4 linked regions of the Saccharomyces cerevisiae S288C genome follow. Changing the gene in region 3 together with the main gene of any one other region gives a genetic interaction. Each region holds a gene or a part of one and is shown on either strand. Other genes may lie near its edges. The genes, in order: SSP2, HOM6, HOM2 and MCK1.

Region 1 (3,304 bases), on a different chromosome or scaffold from region 3:
GAAGCTGTCAATGTTATAACAAAGTTGTTAAGAGTTCCAAGCCGTGTAATTAGATATGCAGGTACTAAGGATCGTAGAGCAGTAACGTGCCAAAGGGTTTCGATTTCAAAGATTGGTTTGGATAGACTAAATGCTTTAAATAGGACTTTAAAAGGAATGATTATCGGAAATTACAATTTTTCGGATGCAAGTTTGAATCTGGGAGACTTGAAGGGAAATGAGTTCGTTGTTGTTATTAGAGATGTTACCACCGGCAATAGTGAGGTATCACTGGAAGAAATTGTGTCTAACGGCTGTAAGTCTTTATCAGAAAATGGGTTTATCAATTATTTTGGTATGCAGAGATTCGGTACATTCAGTATTTCTACGCACACAATTGGTAGAGAATTGCTCCTTTCAAACTGGAAGAAGGCTGCTGAGTTGATTTTATCTGACCAGGATAACGTGCTTCCTAAATCTAAGGAAGCTAGGAAGATTTGGGCAGAAACTAAGGACGCGGCTTTAGCATTGAAGCAGATGCCAAGACAGTGTCTCGCAGAAAATGCGTTACTATATTCTTTATCTAATCAAAGAAAAGAAGAAGATGGAACTTATTCTGAGAACGCTTATTATACTGCTATTATGAAAATTCCCAGAAATTTGAGAACTATGTATGTACATGCCTACCAAAGTTACGTCTGGAATTCTATTGCTAGTAAGCGGATAGAACTACATGGTTTGAAGTTAGTTGTAGGTGACCTTGTCATTGATACTAGTGAAAAGTCACCACTAATTTCTGGGATTGACGATGAAGACTTTGATGAAGATGTCCGTGAAGCTCAGTTCATTCGTGCAAAAGCAGTAACTCAAGAGGATATCGACTCAGTTAAGTATACCATGGAAGATGTCGTGTTACCATCGCCGGGTTTTGATGTGCTTTATCCTTCCAACGAAGAATTGAAGCAACTGTATGTGGATATATTGAAAGCAGATAATATGGACCCATTTAATATGAGAAGAAAAGTTCGCGATTTTTCATTGGCTGGCTCTTATAGAACTGTTATTCAAAAGCCAAAGAGTTTAGAGTATAGAATAATTCACTATGATGATCCTTCTCAACAATTGGTGAACACTGATTTGGACATCCTGAATAACACCAGAGCAAAAGAAAGCGGCCAGAAGTATATGAAAGCCAAGTTGGACAGATATATGCCAGATAAAGGCGGTGAGAAGACTGCGGTGGTGTTAAAATTTCAATTAGGAACCTCCGCATATGCCACCATGGCATTACGTGAACTCATGAAGCTTGAGACTTCTCGCCGTGGCGACATGTGTGATGTTAAGGAGAATATCTAAGGTTATACGAGGTGCAATATTCATGTATATTAGTTTACTTTTTTTGTCGGAAGCTCTTTCCCTCATACACTATTGTTGTGTCCGTGTCGTGTCACTTCAGGCGTCGGTAAATATGTATCTGCGCATCGCACACAAAGATAAAGCCTTTTTAAATATAAACAACACCTTCTAGATATATCTTATCAAAGGATACAACCACGTTTCTCAACAAGAAGGACCTAATAGAGGAAAATTATTATACTGTAGCTATCAATATTTTATAAACAAAAAGACAGATATATTCTCGCGTATTGAAGTCGGGAATCCAACGAAGGTAAAATAATAATAAAATACGAAGCATTTAATCCGGTCAAATGTACAAGAACTATTATTCAAACACAGAAGTTTATAAAAAGCATAAAGACTCTGGAAGTTTGAGGAAGAAAGCTTTGAGATCGAGAAGATCATCTTTTTTTTCATTTTTCAATGACTCGTCTAGTTCGAATGGAAACGAATTCATAGGTTTTAGACGATTTGCAAAAGCATATCTGTTTGGTCGTGAGATAGGTTCATGTGGTACAGATTCATATACACCAGTTGGGGCAAATGTAAACAAAAGACGTTTAAAAAAAGAAGATAAAAACGATCAACAGCTTTGGAAAAGGCAGCACCATTCACAGGGTTGTTTTTTTCCCATAGATGATGACAGTAATAAGCAAACAGAAGCAGCCGTCAACAAATTTTATGAGAATGGAGAATACGTTAATCAGGATTTAATTTTCAAGGGAAAAGTATATTCAGAAGAATCAGAGGTTGTTGATGAGAAAACGGCAGGTTCTCAGAATCCCGCTCTTCTCAAAACAAGATCAATTTCATTAAACGATATACCGCGCGGCACAGGCATCTCTAGTGTATTGTCTCAAGTACGCGGAGGTTCCTTAGAAAGAATTATTGTCTATAGGTACGATACTCCGGAACGTTCTTTGCATAAAGTTGATCTTTTCTTCTTAAATTACGAGGGAGCTCAATCTTTTATGAGATACGCAAAAACAAATATTTTTAAAGTTAATGGAGTTCAATTAAAACCAGAATGGATATTCCTCGAGAGCACATATGAAAACATAATGAAAGAGCAATCTGTCAACAGAATAATAGAAGAGGAAAAGTTCATATCAAGATGTTTGATAGTGAAAAAAAGCTCGACAACAGCAATGCCTAACAAATCAAATCTGAATAAAGGGCAAACTTTAGAAAACATTGATATTCAAGAATTAGAAAAAGATTTTCAGAATTTTGGAGAGGTTCTAGAAATTACGCCTATTGTATCAAGAAAATTATGCGTATCTATATTCTTTTACGATATTTCCAGTGCTATGAGAGCTATGGAAGAATACGAACAAAAGGGCTCATATCTATATAATAAATATTTTAAAACATGGACAATATGGTACGGGAAAGATATTACAGACCAGCCTTGCATTGACTTGTAGTACGAATTTTTAAGTTGATAACTAAATTACTCTTCAACAAATAAATAAATGCAAATGAAGTCCATTATGTACGATTTTTAAAGTGCAAGTTACTTTCAAATTACTTTACATCTATTCTATCAAAAACGACCAATAATCCGCCAACAAGATGTAATGAACCAGTTACAAATATATCAGCAGGTTCATCGTATAGCGTTTCAATCAATTCATTTGCTTCCTCTATACTAGCCGTTACATGCGTTTTAGCACGATTATCGTCTATTTTGTTCCAATTCTTGACTAATGACTCCTGGACTTTCAATTTTTCTACATCTTCTTGAGAAGTGTTCATGGAAACGAGGTCAGCGCTGTATGAGCCTGATTTCCAAGTGACATTAGTAGTAAATATCACATCATCGAACGTTATTTCTGGCGAAACAGATGAGTACAGGTTATTCACAAGAGCGTTGGCATCTCTGCTTTGTTGGTTGAAGAGCAAGATCTTCTTTCTCTTCGACAAT
Region 2 (4,484 bases), on a different chromosome or scaffold from region 3:
GAAAAACTAAGAGAGAAGAAATACAGCCTGAAGTTATGTTTTACACCGGCCCGCTTTACAACTTCATTAATGAGCAACAAACATCTTTAGAAAGCTCGGCTATAAATTTTAAAGATTCAATTTTTGTTAATGATAATAACCTTTTAAACAGAAATGTAGAACTATCCAAGTTGGCGTATCAAATTCAACGTGGCGAAGATCGCATTACTTTAGTCAACAGAAAATGGCACTGGAAAAAGCATGAAAAGTGTTTTGTTGGCTCGGAGATGGTTAATTGGCTCATAAGAAACTTCTCTGATATAGATACTCGAGAAGATGCAATTAAATATGGGCAGAAGGTGATGAAAGAGGGATTATTTGTTCACGTTTTAAATAAGCACAATTTTTTGGACGGGCACTACTTTTACCAGTTCTCACCTGAATACGTAATGGACACTAATAAACTAGAAAAAACAAACTCCCATCGCTCTACATTATCCGATCCAAAGCAGATGTTGAGAAAAGCATCCACTGGTAGCTCAAACGATCCAAGCGCTATGACTCCTTTTTCTTCAGTAGTACCTGCTATAAGCGCTTCGAATGCTTCAGTTGCTGACGCCAAAGAGCCATCACGCCCTATTTTAATGCTGAGTAACTCTCTTGTTATCGATGTTGATCCCGCGGGAAAATCCTCGAAACAAGAATCGTGTACAGTCCATTATGACAGAGTTCATAACCCCGACCACTGTTTTCACATAAGATTGGAATGGTTGACTACCACCCCAAAATTGATCGATGATTTGGTTGGGAACTGGTCAAGGTTATGCGAAAGGTACGGTTTGAAAATGATTGAAATTCCTTGGGAAGAACTTTGTACTATCCCTTCGGTCAATCCATTTCACTCTTTTGTGGAAATTAAGTTAGCTATCAATCCTTGGGAAGATCCTGAGTTCAAGGATAGGGAGCTTTTCGCTAAAAGCAAATTCTACTACCACGTTTATCTTTTAAAGGCATCTGGGTTTTTATTAGACAATAGGGCATCCAAATTTTTACAAAATCAAGATATAGAGTTTGACATCATGTATTCATGGGGCAAACCACAGTTCAAATATGTTCAATATATTCATCATACGGGTGCTTACGTCGCGGAATTGAGGGAAAATGGCTGCCTATTTTTAGCTCCTAACAACATTTATATATCCAGAGTGAATCCGGGAAACATAATCGGGAAAATTCATTCTGCTTCAAGCTCTTCATTAGATGCTCAAAAAGTGATCCTAAATTTCAAATCAACTTGCTTGGACTATCAGAAGTTAAGGTCAATTTTCCTTGACGCAAAGGAAATGTGGATTACAGGAAAGATTGTAGAAGATTGAGTAGCCCCATGACATGGATGAGTTTCTTCACAAAGTAAATAATATTCGAACGTGGATAGTAAAGCATAATGTTATCTATTTATATATAAATATACCTATGTTTTTATATGTCTGTTTACTGATCTAAAGTCTTTGAGCAATCTTGATAACATCACCCAAAACACCAGCGGCAGTAACGGCAGCACCGGCACCGGCACCTTGAATGACAACAGGATTGGTGTAACGCTTAGTCTTGATGGAAATAACGTTATCTGATCCCTTCAATGATGCGAATGGGTGTGAGTAATCGTACTTTTCAATTCCTACAGACACAGATTTGGTGGCAACATCGACTTTACCAATGAATCTCAATACCTTATTTTCAGTGGCAGCTTCCTTCTTCAATTGAGTCAAATCTTTATCGTAATCAGATAATTTTTCCAAGAATTCATCAGCAGACTTGACAGATTCCAATGGTTTTGGAATCAAAGACTGGACAGGGAAGGAAGTTGGAGATTCAACTTCCACACCAGATATCCTACCAACAATGGTAACCTTTCTAGCAACATCCAACCCATTCAAATCATCTCTTGGATCTGGTTCAGTATAACCCAATTTTTTAGCAACTTTGACAACATCAGAGAATTTGACGTCGTTAGCTTGACTAGTGGAGAACTCGTTGAAAATATAAGATAGAGTACCAGAGAAGATACCTTCAATTTTTTCAACTTCGTCACCGGTTTGAATAATTTCTCTTAAGAAACTGATGATAGGCAAACCAGCACCGACGGTAGCTTCATGATAGACAAAACCGTTAGTTGGCTTATTTGAGAAAAGAGCCTTCCAGGTAGCCAAATCAGAGGAAAAGGCCTTCTTGTTTGGAGTAGCAATGGAAATACCATTTTCGACAAACTTAGTGTAAAAACCAGCAATGTAAGCGCTGGAAGTGTTATCAACCAAAATGACTGGCTTAGGTGAAGTCTTCAAATGAGCAATTAAATCATCCAAAGGCAACGTTTTAGTAGTGGAGGCTGCTAAAGCAGCCTTCCAATCAGAACCAACATTTAATGGAGAAAAGTCCTTGGAGATTAAAGAACGCTCAGCTTCAGCCAAAAGAACTAGATTGTAAGTAATGGTAGACTTCATGGCTAACAATTGATCCAAGAAAGCTGAACCAACAACACCGGCACCGATAACGGCAACATTAACAACTTTAGTGCTCATTTTTTTTTTATTATTCGATTGATGATACTATCTACGTTCTTAAAACAGTCCTGAGTACACACACAGAAGATTTAGCTTCAACAAATTGTCTATCGCTAACCGCAATATTTACATATTCTTTATACATTTCTGTTCCATTCAACCCAACTTTACCACCAGGGCACACTTCTTCCAAAATATGGTCATCAACACACCCGTACACCACCATGTGCGTTATTGAAAAACTCACGTGATCTTATCCACTAATAGCCTCACTCTATCGAAGACTTCCTTCTTTGTAACACGTTTCTTAATTGCACTTGGCTTAGAAGTAGGGTCTGGAGTGCTTTTTGATGTCACAGAACCTGATGACGGTAGTGCTGGATTGTTTTCATCGTTCACGTCTGTGAGGGATTGATCCTGTCGAGCTAGAGGAAAATAGAGATACTCGAAATAAATGCCCAAGCAAACGCTGTCAAATGCAATTCCGCTATGTCCCTTTTTCAACTGGAAAGCAAGTTTTAACCCGGATGATATTTCTTCAGGGTACTTTCCTTGGTCGAAAACTTGGTTCAGTTGCTCACTAATCTTCAGGAATTCTTGGTAGTTCAAGGTTGGAAGGATTTGCTCCACGTAGCTCTTGTCTTGCAATTGCAGCTTGATTTTGGCACTTTGCGTGTACACATTAATGGCACGCTCTAATAGTTCGTTTACGTTCACAGTTCCAGAACCAAATCGCCTTAGCTTTTTTATAACAAGACCTGTTGTATTGAAGTCTTTTATTGCGAAGAGTAAATCCAAATACAAAACCAGGTACTGGTAAGTATAGATGAAATGTTTCCCTGGCCTTTCAAAATCTGGTTTCCATATATTGACCAAGTTTTTGTTTATACTTTTTGCGGATATTAAGCTATCCATCTCCTCCAAAGCACCGTTCACATCACCCAAATCGTCAAACAATATGCGCGCTATTCTGTAACGAGGTCTGTGCTGCCATTTTTTTTTATCAACAGATAGTAAATGGCGAAGTAGTCTTATGATTTTGTCAAAAAAGAATTTTTCTTGATAATCCCATGCAAGACCTTCGTCGTTGACCCAAAATTCCTCTTGTTCCTGGAAGAATTGGTTATCTTTAGACAGTAAGGTCAGAGCTTCGTTAACACCTATGACGCCTCTTTTTACCCACTTGTAACAAGCATTAACTAACAGATAATGGGGTTCTATGATCGGATCTTTAGCAGGTGATGACTCATAAGCTATTTGGCAACCCTGAGTAATATATTTGGCAACTAATTTACAATTATTACCACCATCTGTTTTGAAAAAGAACTTGGCCAGATTGTAAAAACTAGACCAATTCAACACGAATACATCGTCCTGTGACTTGATATCGCCGGATAAAGAACAAGCCCTATTAAAACATAAAAATATACTTTGCTCGATGTTAAAGTCTGAGATTGTGGTGATTTTCTTAGTTTTTTCCATTACTACTTCACCGGTTTCAGACAATCTCATTGTATTCTCAGCACTGCTTTTCCAGCTAAAACAAAGCTTATTCATGGGATTATAGTAGCCGCTAATCAGCATAGATCCTAAGTCATCCAATGCCTCCAATATAATCTTTTTATCGTCAATAGTTCGATCCAACTTACTATAATAAATGGAAATGGCCATTAAATAACACAATATTGCCTTTCTTTGAGTCAAAGCAATAACATCTTTTTTCTCAGGGACAGTGATCTTATCTGAGGTCCATATTAAATCATCTTCAACAATATAACTGTAACACTTTCCGAGTAATATCCAACTTTCGAAACGGTTTGTGTTGTATATAATGTCATTCTTTAACATTCTGATAATGGAGTCTAATTCAGAAGGTCTTGCTTGCATAGACTTCTTTCTCATTTTATACAAACCCAGGGACTGTAAGCTGGATACGTAGAACAA
Region 3 (4,517 bases):
AGTGTTATCATTATTTCCATGCCCTTTGAAAAAATTGAAATTAGTGGAAGGCACTACTGAGCCAAATGATGTGTTCATTTAAGGGATACCTTCCAAGAGTATTACCTGAAATGAGTACCAACAGTGCTATTGTGAGTGTATCCCAGCTTTGAGATATGTCTGCTGCTTTCCTCTCTCCTTTTTTTTCCCATGTAAATGAGTTGTTTGTATGCATCACTACGCTCTCTGTTTAGCTTTTTTCTTGGGTCAGCGAGAGAATTACCTTTTCTTGAAGTGGAAGAAAAATAATAAAGGCTTGGTATTATACTATTGAAAAGAAAAGAAAAGAAAAAATAATGAACATTGAATCACGAATTCTCGAAACTCAAGAAACTAATAATAAAGATCTACGTTTCAAATTATTATACGTATATTCATACACATATACTTATTTACTTGTTTTGTATTTTTTGTTCGTTCGAAAAAAAAGTAAGATGAAGACATAACTTTGCAATTTTTCCTTAAATCAAGTTTCTTGCTAGTAAGATTTCGGCAATCAAGACACCAGAACCAGCGGCACCAATAATGGTGTTGTGGGAAAGGACAACCATTTTGAAATCTAACAATGGGTCTTCTCTGATTCTACCAACGGAAACACCGTAACCGCTGTCTCTGTTCCTGTCCAACCTTGGTTGAGGTCTGTCTGGTTGTTCCAAAACATGAATAGTTTGCTTTGGAGCAGAATGACAGCCTAATTTGTAGGCATCGCAGACGTATTCTTTTAGGCATGTCTTGACTTGCTCGACGGATGGAGCAGGTCTGTTCTTGAACCTCAAAGAGATACATTCGGTGTGCCCATCGGAAACAGCGACTCTGTTACATTGAGCAGAGACTTTGATTTCTTCTGGAGTCAATAGTTTGACGTGTGTCTTGTCTTCTGCTAATGGAGCCAAGATTTTCTTGGTCTCCCATTCCATCTTGTCTTCTTCACCACCAATGTATGGAATAATATTGTCTAGAATATCAATACCTGGTACACCTGGGGAGAAACCAGCACCTGAGATTGCTTGCAAAGTAGTAGTGGTCAAAGCATCAATAGGACCGAATTTTTCAATCAAAGGCTTCAATGGTGCAACCAAACCTGCAGTGGAACAATTGGAAATACAGATAATGAACCCTGGTCTTGGCTTACCTTGAGCCTTGGCGGTGTCAAGCTTTTGAGCTACAATATCCAAATGCTCAGGATTGACAACAGGAACAATCAATGGCACATCTTGTTCTCTTCTATAATTCTTGGCATTGGAAACAATGGCGATACCAGCTTCCATGAATTCCTTTTCGATAGCGCCAGCATAGTCAGCATCCAATCCGGAAAAGACGATGTCACACTCTTTAAAGAATTCAGATTTACATTCGGAAACAATAATATCGGTAGCAGATTCCGGTAGCAAATCGGTTTGCTTCCAGTTCACAGCGTCAACGTATTTCTTGCCAGCTGATCTAGAAGAGGCACCAAGAACTTTCAGTTCGAAATGAGGGTGATTTGCCAACAACAGAATGAAACGTTGACCAACGGAACCAGTAGCACCCAAAACACCAGCAATTTTCTTTCCAGCCATTTTAGAACGCTTTATTTCTACAATTTAATTTGTATGTGTACTTAAGTGAAAACAAGAAAAACAAGATTTAATTTTATACTCGAAAGTGAATGAACAAATAAATATGGTTCTTTTATTTATTTTTTCTGCTTTTCTATTTTTCTCTAACATTTTGAACTGGTAGTAGTCAGAGGAAAATGAGTCAATCAATGCTTGACAACATGATTTGGAAAAAAAAAAAGTGTGAAAAAAAAGAAAACCGGGTACTTTGAGGCCGCTGCCGGTGATATTTGGATCTGGAAAGAAAGAGAAAAAAAAGCACTGAAGACGTTCAGATGTCAGAATTCTAACTGATATGCATATATTGTAGTATACAGAAGGCGTATGTGAATGGATATGTAGGATTTTGTGTAAAAGGGCAAGGCTGCTGCTACAGGTCTCACTCATCGGCGAATGTAGTTTTCTTGCCGCCGGTGGCACTAACACCTATGCTTGTCTCCTTCTTCTCCGTCGTGGAGACCTGAATGGGCGCGGCGGAAAAGTCTTGGGCGGGTGGCAGACCCTTGAAGTCTCTCTGAATCCTCTTTAATTGCGATATGGAGCTGGAAAGGTTGGTGTCGATGTTGAGGCTGGTGTTAGCCACAGCGGCAGCGTCCGCGTCAGCGGCGTTGCCGCTGATGGTATTCATGGTAGTACTATCAATAATGTTCTCCTTCTCATCGATAAAGCTCTCCAGAAATTGAAGAACCTCGTCAGTAGAGACATGTTGGGGCAGCTGCGTGGCATGAATGACCACAGGCGTGTTTAGCGTGGTAGCAGTGTTATTACCTGTTCTTCTAGAACCTTTCATCATCTTGTATTATCGAAATCTTACCTCAGACGTCTCCAGTTCTGCTCTGCCTTACCGATGAGACCTCTATAATCAATGTGATTTAAACATATGCATCATCTTGAAGTAAGCTCGAAATGAAAAATTTTACACCCGCAATATGCTTACCCGTCGCTGTTAGATGTTACCCGCCTTTCGCCCCTTAGGGGTTTCCACCGCCCCCCTCGTCCTCTACGGTATTTTCTGGGGCGCCCAGCCCGCCACGTCCCGCCTCGTCTCGAATTTCTTCCTCTGCTAGACGGGCTTCCACGCGCTTCCACTCATTTCTGTCTCTGGTAATGGCCGTGGCCCTTCTCACTTTGGTTGGGCTTACGCTGACAAGTGTCTGTTCGATTCCCTGTATAAATATAAACGTATTCTCTTGAGCCTTCTATCCTTTTGCCACTGTCGTCATCATTTGTTCCTCCTTTTTCGCTAGATAGGTTATATTAAGATTTGTCTTGAATTTAATATCTCAACTCAATCCAAACTCAACCGCTAATACTACCATGTCCCAAGTCTATTTTGATGTCGAAGCTGATGGCCAACCAATTGGCCGTGTCGTTTTCAAGTTGTACAACGACATAGTCCCAAAGACTGCAGAAAACTTCAGAGCTCTATGTACCGGTGAAAAGGGATTCGGCTACGCTGGCTCTCCATTCCACAGAGTTATTCCAGACTTCATGTTGCAAGGTGGTGACTTCACTGCTGGTAACGGTACCGGCGGTAAGTCTATCTACGGTGGCAAATTCCCAGATGAAAACTTCAAGAAGCACCACGACAGACCAGGTTTGTTGTCCATGGCCAACGCCGGTCCAAACACCAACGGTTCTCAATTCTTCATCACCACCGTTCCATGCCCATGGTTGGACGGTAAGCATGTTGTCTTTGGTGAAGTTGTTGACGGTTACGACATCGTTAAGAAGGTTGAGTCCTTGGGTTCTCCTTCCGGTGCCACCAAGGCTAGAATTGTTGTTGCCAAGTCCGGTGAATTATAACCGCTCTGCCTGGAACAATACAGCAAAAATTGAAACGAACTATTCTCTCTTAAATTATATGTATATGTATAAGGTATGTGTATGTATGACAATCAATTCTTATAACTAACTCTTCCTACCTATATCGGAGTATGTTGCCAGGCTTGCCAACTAGCCAACTACCGCCTAGGTTATGCCTGTTAAGTTGACGCCGCCGGGTACCGCCCCCTGTTTTTCCCACGTTTCTTTCTTTCCTCTAGGTAACGGATTTTCGGCTTATTTTCCACAGCGAGAAAATTTTCTTTCTCCTGCACTTTTTTTCATATTCAGGTCCTTTGATCCATTCATTCATTCTTGTTTTAATTTCAATCTAGATTTTAGTTTTCGGTTGAATTTATCTTTAGTTTTTTATCAATAAGAATTGGTCTAGCTTATCTTTCCAGGCTGCTTATAGTTTACTTTTTTTAAAAAATTATATTTCTATCCAATATACAAATCGGAAGGGAAATTCATATACACAAATTAAACGTTCCAATTGCATAAATACCAACACCATACAAAATGGACTCATTATCAAAAAAGATTCAAAATTTAGGTATCCATGATATTAGAAATGCCGCAAGGTTTGCCCAAAACGTGATAGTCCAATATGAGCCTTATCAGATAGATATCCGTCGTGCTACAAATACCGATGCTTGGGGCCCCACACCGAAGCACCTCGCCAAGGTTTTAAGGAACAGATACCAAGTGCCGCTCTACTTGATGACAGAATACACGTTGAAAAGATTAGTCGACCATATCGCTACCAGGCCCAAGAACCTATACGAAAAGGCAAGAAAGGACTACGTTAATTATGGGTCCGAATGGAGGGTGGTCTTAAAATGTCTAGTAGTCATTGAATTCCTATTATTGAACGTCGACACAGGTGACGAACTGAATCAGATTAGATCATGTTTGCTCACTCATAAGCATATTTTAACCAGGGAGATTGCCCAATTCAAGGTAAAATTCTCCAATGATGGTAAAATGGAGATTCATGAGAGAGGTATTAGGAAAAAGGGAGAACTTATCTTGCAATACTTGGAAGACTCACAA
Region 4 (4,267 bases), on a different chromosome or scaffold from region 3:
CTCCTTCTCTGCTTTTATTTGCTCTTTAATTTTTCTTTTTTCCTCTCTTTTTCTTCTGCGTGAAGAGTCATCGGATCTTCTTAGTGTAGCTTGACTACGTGCATAAGATATAATTTCAGCTGCGTTTGGGTCCTCGTACCTAAAATTGTAGGCATTCTCAAATTTTTCTGCAGCATCTTCAAATTCTTCATCGTCCTCTTCATTATTGTTGAGGTCAAGAGAAATCACCTTGTCCCCCTTCTTAGGAATCCAGGCCTGTTGATTCACAAATTCTTCCAAGAAATTTTCTTCATTTACGGTTGGATCCGGTAAATTTTTTCCTTCCTTCTTCGTAGAAGGTTCCTTTTTCTTCAAAAACCCATCGTCTTCATCTCCGCTAGACTCTTCATTTTCTTCATCGCTAAAGGCACTCTTGATTTCATTTAAAAGCTGAGTTTTCTCTTCACGTTGTTGCGAGACGAAAGATTGCTTTCCGTCAACAGTTGCATGTTCGTATTCTTCGTCATCCTCCTTTAAGGCATCACCAGAAAGTATGTTCATACGGTGATAATCTTTTAGGTAAATAGGTTTATGCTTCCCCTCACGATTGGCCAGTTTGGCAGCAGCAGATTCGGGATCCTCGAAGAATTTGACTTTAGGATCTAGTAGTTTGTCCGTCTTATTGTTTTTGATGGCATCTAGCACTTGATTAATACCGTTTTCCACTTCATCAGTAATCAATTCACCGTAATCATCTTCCTCCTCTTCTTCCTCTTCGTCTTCTTCCTCATCTTCACTAGGAACGTACGATTTGCTTGCTTCGATTGCAGGCTTAACTGTCGTCGCAGAGGTTTCAGAAGTTTTTATGGTAGCAGTATCCGTTGCAGGTACGGCCGCTTCTTTTTTTGCTTGTTCTCTAGCTCTTTTAGCGGCAGACTTTTTTCTTGGCATTGAATTTAGGGTATATCACACTGTTGTTGAAAACTATGAGCATTTTGCTTTCTGAAGAAATGGTTCTGTTAACTAGATGAGATGAGATTGATATATTTGAAAAATTTTAACCGATGACCTTGCGGCTCCTCCGGGTAATACTTTTTTCTCACATAAATATCAAAAAATAACGACGGTATTTCAATAATACTTTTATATAAGTAATGATAACATGCGAGGCAATTTATTACAAGCCACGTAGGCCTAATTAAAATTATAAACTAACACTAAAGTAATAATAATATTTCAGATTAATAAAAGAACAGGAAATAGGAAAGAGATAAAAAAAAATTAGGAACATAAAATAAAAAATAAAGAAGAAATTGAAGGAGTGACTGGATAAAAGAAGTGTATGATAATATCAAATGGAAATTTGAATATATTTTATTCCAAAAAATTTTTTTTCTTTTCCAAGTGAAATATAAACAGCGGATCAAAGGTGAAAAAAATCATAGTATTTTGTTCATTAAATTTTCCGAGGGGAAAGAGAACAAATTAATAGAAAATTATTATTCAGCAACTTTCGTAGGTTTAATTTTATCAGCAAATTCACCCAGAATTTGTAACTCAAAATCATTAAAATCAAACAAATTTGGTAGCTTGATTGGTTCAGTGAAACCTCTTGGTAAGAAAGTGTCATCATTCCTTAATTCATTAAAGAACTGATGGGCAAGGATTCTTCTTGGAGACAGTCTTTGTTGTGGTTCGTAGACCAATATTTTCATCAAAAGATCGATACCATCTGGACCGGAATGGCCAAAATACTTCTCAAACCTCTGTTGCGAAGAGCCCGAGAACAGTGGTTTGGAAAATAGAGGGCCATCGTAGGCCGGATTCGAAAAGAAAATGAATCTTTTATCGGGAGGACCTAACAATTTAGCAATTTCCCTTAGCTGTAGAAGGGGTTCTTGACCTTGAAATATGGCTTTGCCGATAAGCATCTCGCCCATGACACAACCAAGCCCCCATATATCGATCTGGGTGGTATATTGGGTACAACCAATGATCAATTCAGGCGCTCTATAAAATCTTGAACAGATGTAACTAATTGAAGGCTGGTTATGTTCCAATTTTTTGGCAGACCCAAAATCGCAGATTTTCAAGACACCGGTTTCCGGGTCTACAAGAACATTGGATGGTTTGATATCACGATGACAAACGCCAAGACCGTGTAAATAAAGCATCCCGCGGGCAATCTGATAAGTGTATAGCCTGATATGTTTTAATGGCATTTCTAGCTTGTTTGTCACATAACGATTAATCTCGATTTGTAGAGTTTCTGGTAAGCATTCCATGGCAAGGTGTTGATAAACTTTATTATCTTGCGGGGACAAATGAGTAAAGAAATACTGCAATTTAACGATATTTGGATGGTCGGCAATCCTCAGAATCTGTAATTCCCTGGACTTGTACTCGGTATGAGCAGGGACTTTTTTAATTGCAAAGGGGCCCAACCAGTTTTTCTTATCCTGGGTTAAATATGCTTGTACAACAGTCCCAAAGGCACCTCTACCGATTTTCCTGTACTCTTTCACCAGCATCCGCCTCGTGTTGTTCGATTTATTCGAGGTTACATCGTCTGCAATGAATTCAGATCCCCTTTGCAGAGGAACACCATTCTGCTCTTCCGTAGACATATGTACTAGAATGTGATGGAGTGGGGGTTTCGGAAAATAAAAAGAAAATTGAAAGATGAAGCAAAGAACTCTGTAGTCTTGGGCTTAACTCCTATCAATAAACACGTTACGGGCCTGCCCACACTACTAACACGACACAATGGCACTCACTTGCGAAATCTATGTCGTTTTCCCTTGGAGGTTACGCCTGCCCTCTTCCGCATATGAAGGTCGCTTTTTTCAGTGTTGTTTGTGGGTCACTGAACTGTCATTACATACGAACTGAGTGGAAGCAAGAATGCTGCTTTCGAAAGCCACTACAGCTACGTGTGATCATATAATTCCTGCATAATATGGCTGCATGCTTTTTAATGATAGCTTCAATTATGATGATAATCACTGAGCTACTAGTATTCCATTATTCAGCCTAAGATTGGAACTTTCTATAGCAGCGGAGAGTGTTTGTTTCGTACTTCGTGACTGTTTGGCATAATAACGATGAATTGGGAAAGAGGGAAGACAAAATGAGAGTAAATCAGGTGGAAAGCAGTGGTTCTTCTGAAAAGAAAAAGTGACAGTGTGAACTGTTATAGTTACGTGTGATGCTGTTACAACCTGTTTGGAAAGGCTGCCGATGGACGCAGTTTGTCAGGCCTATCAGAAGATGGAATTCTACCGGCACGAATAGAGGAGTTCCTTTTTCATTTAAGGATATTTCAAATCAGGAGGATATCACGAATATCTCGTATCCTTCGTCCTCTGACTCAGTTTTGACAAAGTCAAATGGTAGTAGTGAGGTTTACAAGCCCAAAGAGGAAGTAGTTAAGTACATTCTACATGGCAAGTTTACTAAAAATAACACGCATTTGACATTTTCAAGCGTTGTGGAGGACAAGAACTTTCATAAGAATAAGGGACTTACGTATAATGATACAATGCTGTACTATTTGAACTTACCCCAGAAAGTGAAGATTTCGCTATCTACAGGTTGTTTAGGGTTTAGGAAGGCAGCAAGAGGGGAGTATGAAGCTGCATTTCAAACCAGTGGTAGAATGTTTGAATTGATTAAGGAAAAGAACATGCTGAACAAAGATATCGAAGTGGTGATGGACGACTTTGGGAAGGGCAGAGCTGCTTTTATTTCCGCTCTTGTTGGTAAGGAAGGGGCCAGTGTGGTGAAAAAGGTTGTGAAGATCAGCGATGCCACCAAATTGAAGTTTGGTGGTGTAAGATCACCAAAGATGAGAAGACTATGATCAGCTCCCACTATGTATGAATTATAAACTATGTAAAAGAAGAAGAAATATATATATATTCGTGTAAATAATTCGATTTTTCCCTTTTTTTAATTGTCGTCGTTAGAGTTGGCCAAAATCCTTAAAATAGACAAAAACAAATTGACGATGTCCAGGTAAAGCATCATGGCGCATCTAACTTCTTCATCAGGATACACTTTCCTAAAAATCAGTTGCGTATCGATGAAAAGATACGCGGTAAATAAAATGGCACCAAGCCAGCCGTAAAGCAGATTAAACTTGGAAGAGTGGGTATTCCAGCCGAAAAGCAAGGCCGTGAGACCCATTCCGATCATAATCCATAGACCCCAGTTTAACCAATAGTATATTGACGTTGCGGAATTCAGCACGTTCTCGAATCTCTCTGATAGTGCGGTCAAGGAAACG

What was found.
Region 1: mutations in HOM2 (region 3) and SSP2 together harm fitness more than expected from each alone (negative genetic interaction), as found in Saccharomyces cerevisiae (2 studies listed by BioGRID).
Region 2: mutations in HOM2 (region 3) and HOM6 together harm fitness less than expected from each alone (positive genetic interaction), as found in Saccharomyces cerevisiae (5 studies listed by BioGRID, with this or other methods).
Region 4: mutations in HOM2 (region 3) and MCK1 together harm fitness more than expected from each alone (negative genetic interaction), as found in Saccharomyces cerevisiae (3 studies listed by BioGRID).

The regions. Positions count from the first base shown.
Region 1 is NC_001147.6:788,242-791,545, reverse strand, and holds SSP2 (Ssp2p), read left to right. Parts: upstream 1-1,688; coding exon 1,689-2,804; downstream 2,805-3,304. Other genes in the region: pseudouridine synthase PUS7, read left to right, coding at 1-1,335; MET7 (tetrahydrofolate synthase), read right to left, coding at 2,905-3,304. UniProt on the Saccharomyces cerevisiae protein: Essential for sporulation and seems to have a role at the time of, or after, initiation of nuclear division. Appears to have a role in outer spore wall formation.
Region 2 is NC_001142.9:687,967-692,450, forward strand, and holds HOM6 (homoserine dehydrogenase), read right to left. Parts: upstream 2,559-4,484; coding exon 1,479-2,558; downstream 1-1,478. Other genes in the region: GTPase-activating protein IML1, read left to right, coding at 1-1,355; HIR3 (Hir3p), read right to left, coding at 2,784-4,484. UniProt on the Saccharomyces cerevisiae protein: Catalyzes the conversion of L-aspartate-beta-semialdehyde (L-Asa) to L-homoserine (L-Hse), the third step in the biosynthesis of amino acids that derive from aspartate (the aspartate family of amino acids), including methioinine and threonine, the latter of which is a precursor to isoleucine; production of homoserine leads to a branch-point in the pathway as it can either be O-phosphorylated for processing to threonine, or O-acylated for processing to methionine.
Region 3 is NC_001136.10:767,438-771,954, reverse strand, and holds HOM2 (aspartate-semialdehyde dehydrogenase), read right to left. Parts: upstream 1,599-4,517; coding exon 501-1,598; downstream 1-500. Other genes in the region: SAC3 (Sac3p), read right to left, coding at 1-78; YDR157W (uncharacterized protein), read right to left, coding at 1,623-2,024; DNA-directed RNA polymerase I subunit RPA14, read right to left, coding at 2,017-2,430; peptidylprolyl isomerase CPR1, read left to right, coding at 2,955-3,443; ENT5 (Ent5p), read left to right, coding at 3,984-4,517. UniProt on the Saccharomyces cerevisiae protein: Catalyzes the NADPH-dependent formation of L-aspartate 4-semialdehyde (L-ASA) by the reductive dephosphorylation of 4-phospho-L-aspartate.
Region 4 is NC_001146.8:54,968-59,234, forward strand, and holds MCK1 (serine/threonine/tyrosine protein kinase MCK1), read right to left. Parts: upstream 2,607-4,267; coding exon 1,479-2,606; downstream 1-1,478. Other genes in the region: KRI1 (Kri1p), read right to left, coding at 1-930; mitochondrial 37S ribosomal protein uS11m MRPS18, read left to right, coding at 3,188-3,841; BXI1 (Bxi1p), read right to left, coding at 3,931-4,267. UniProt on the Saccharomyces cerevisiae protein: May be an autophosphorylating tyrosine kinase, a bifunctional (serine/tyrosine-specific) protein kinase, or a serine kinase that is a substrate for an associated tyrosine kinase.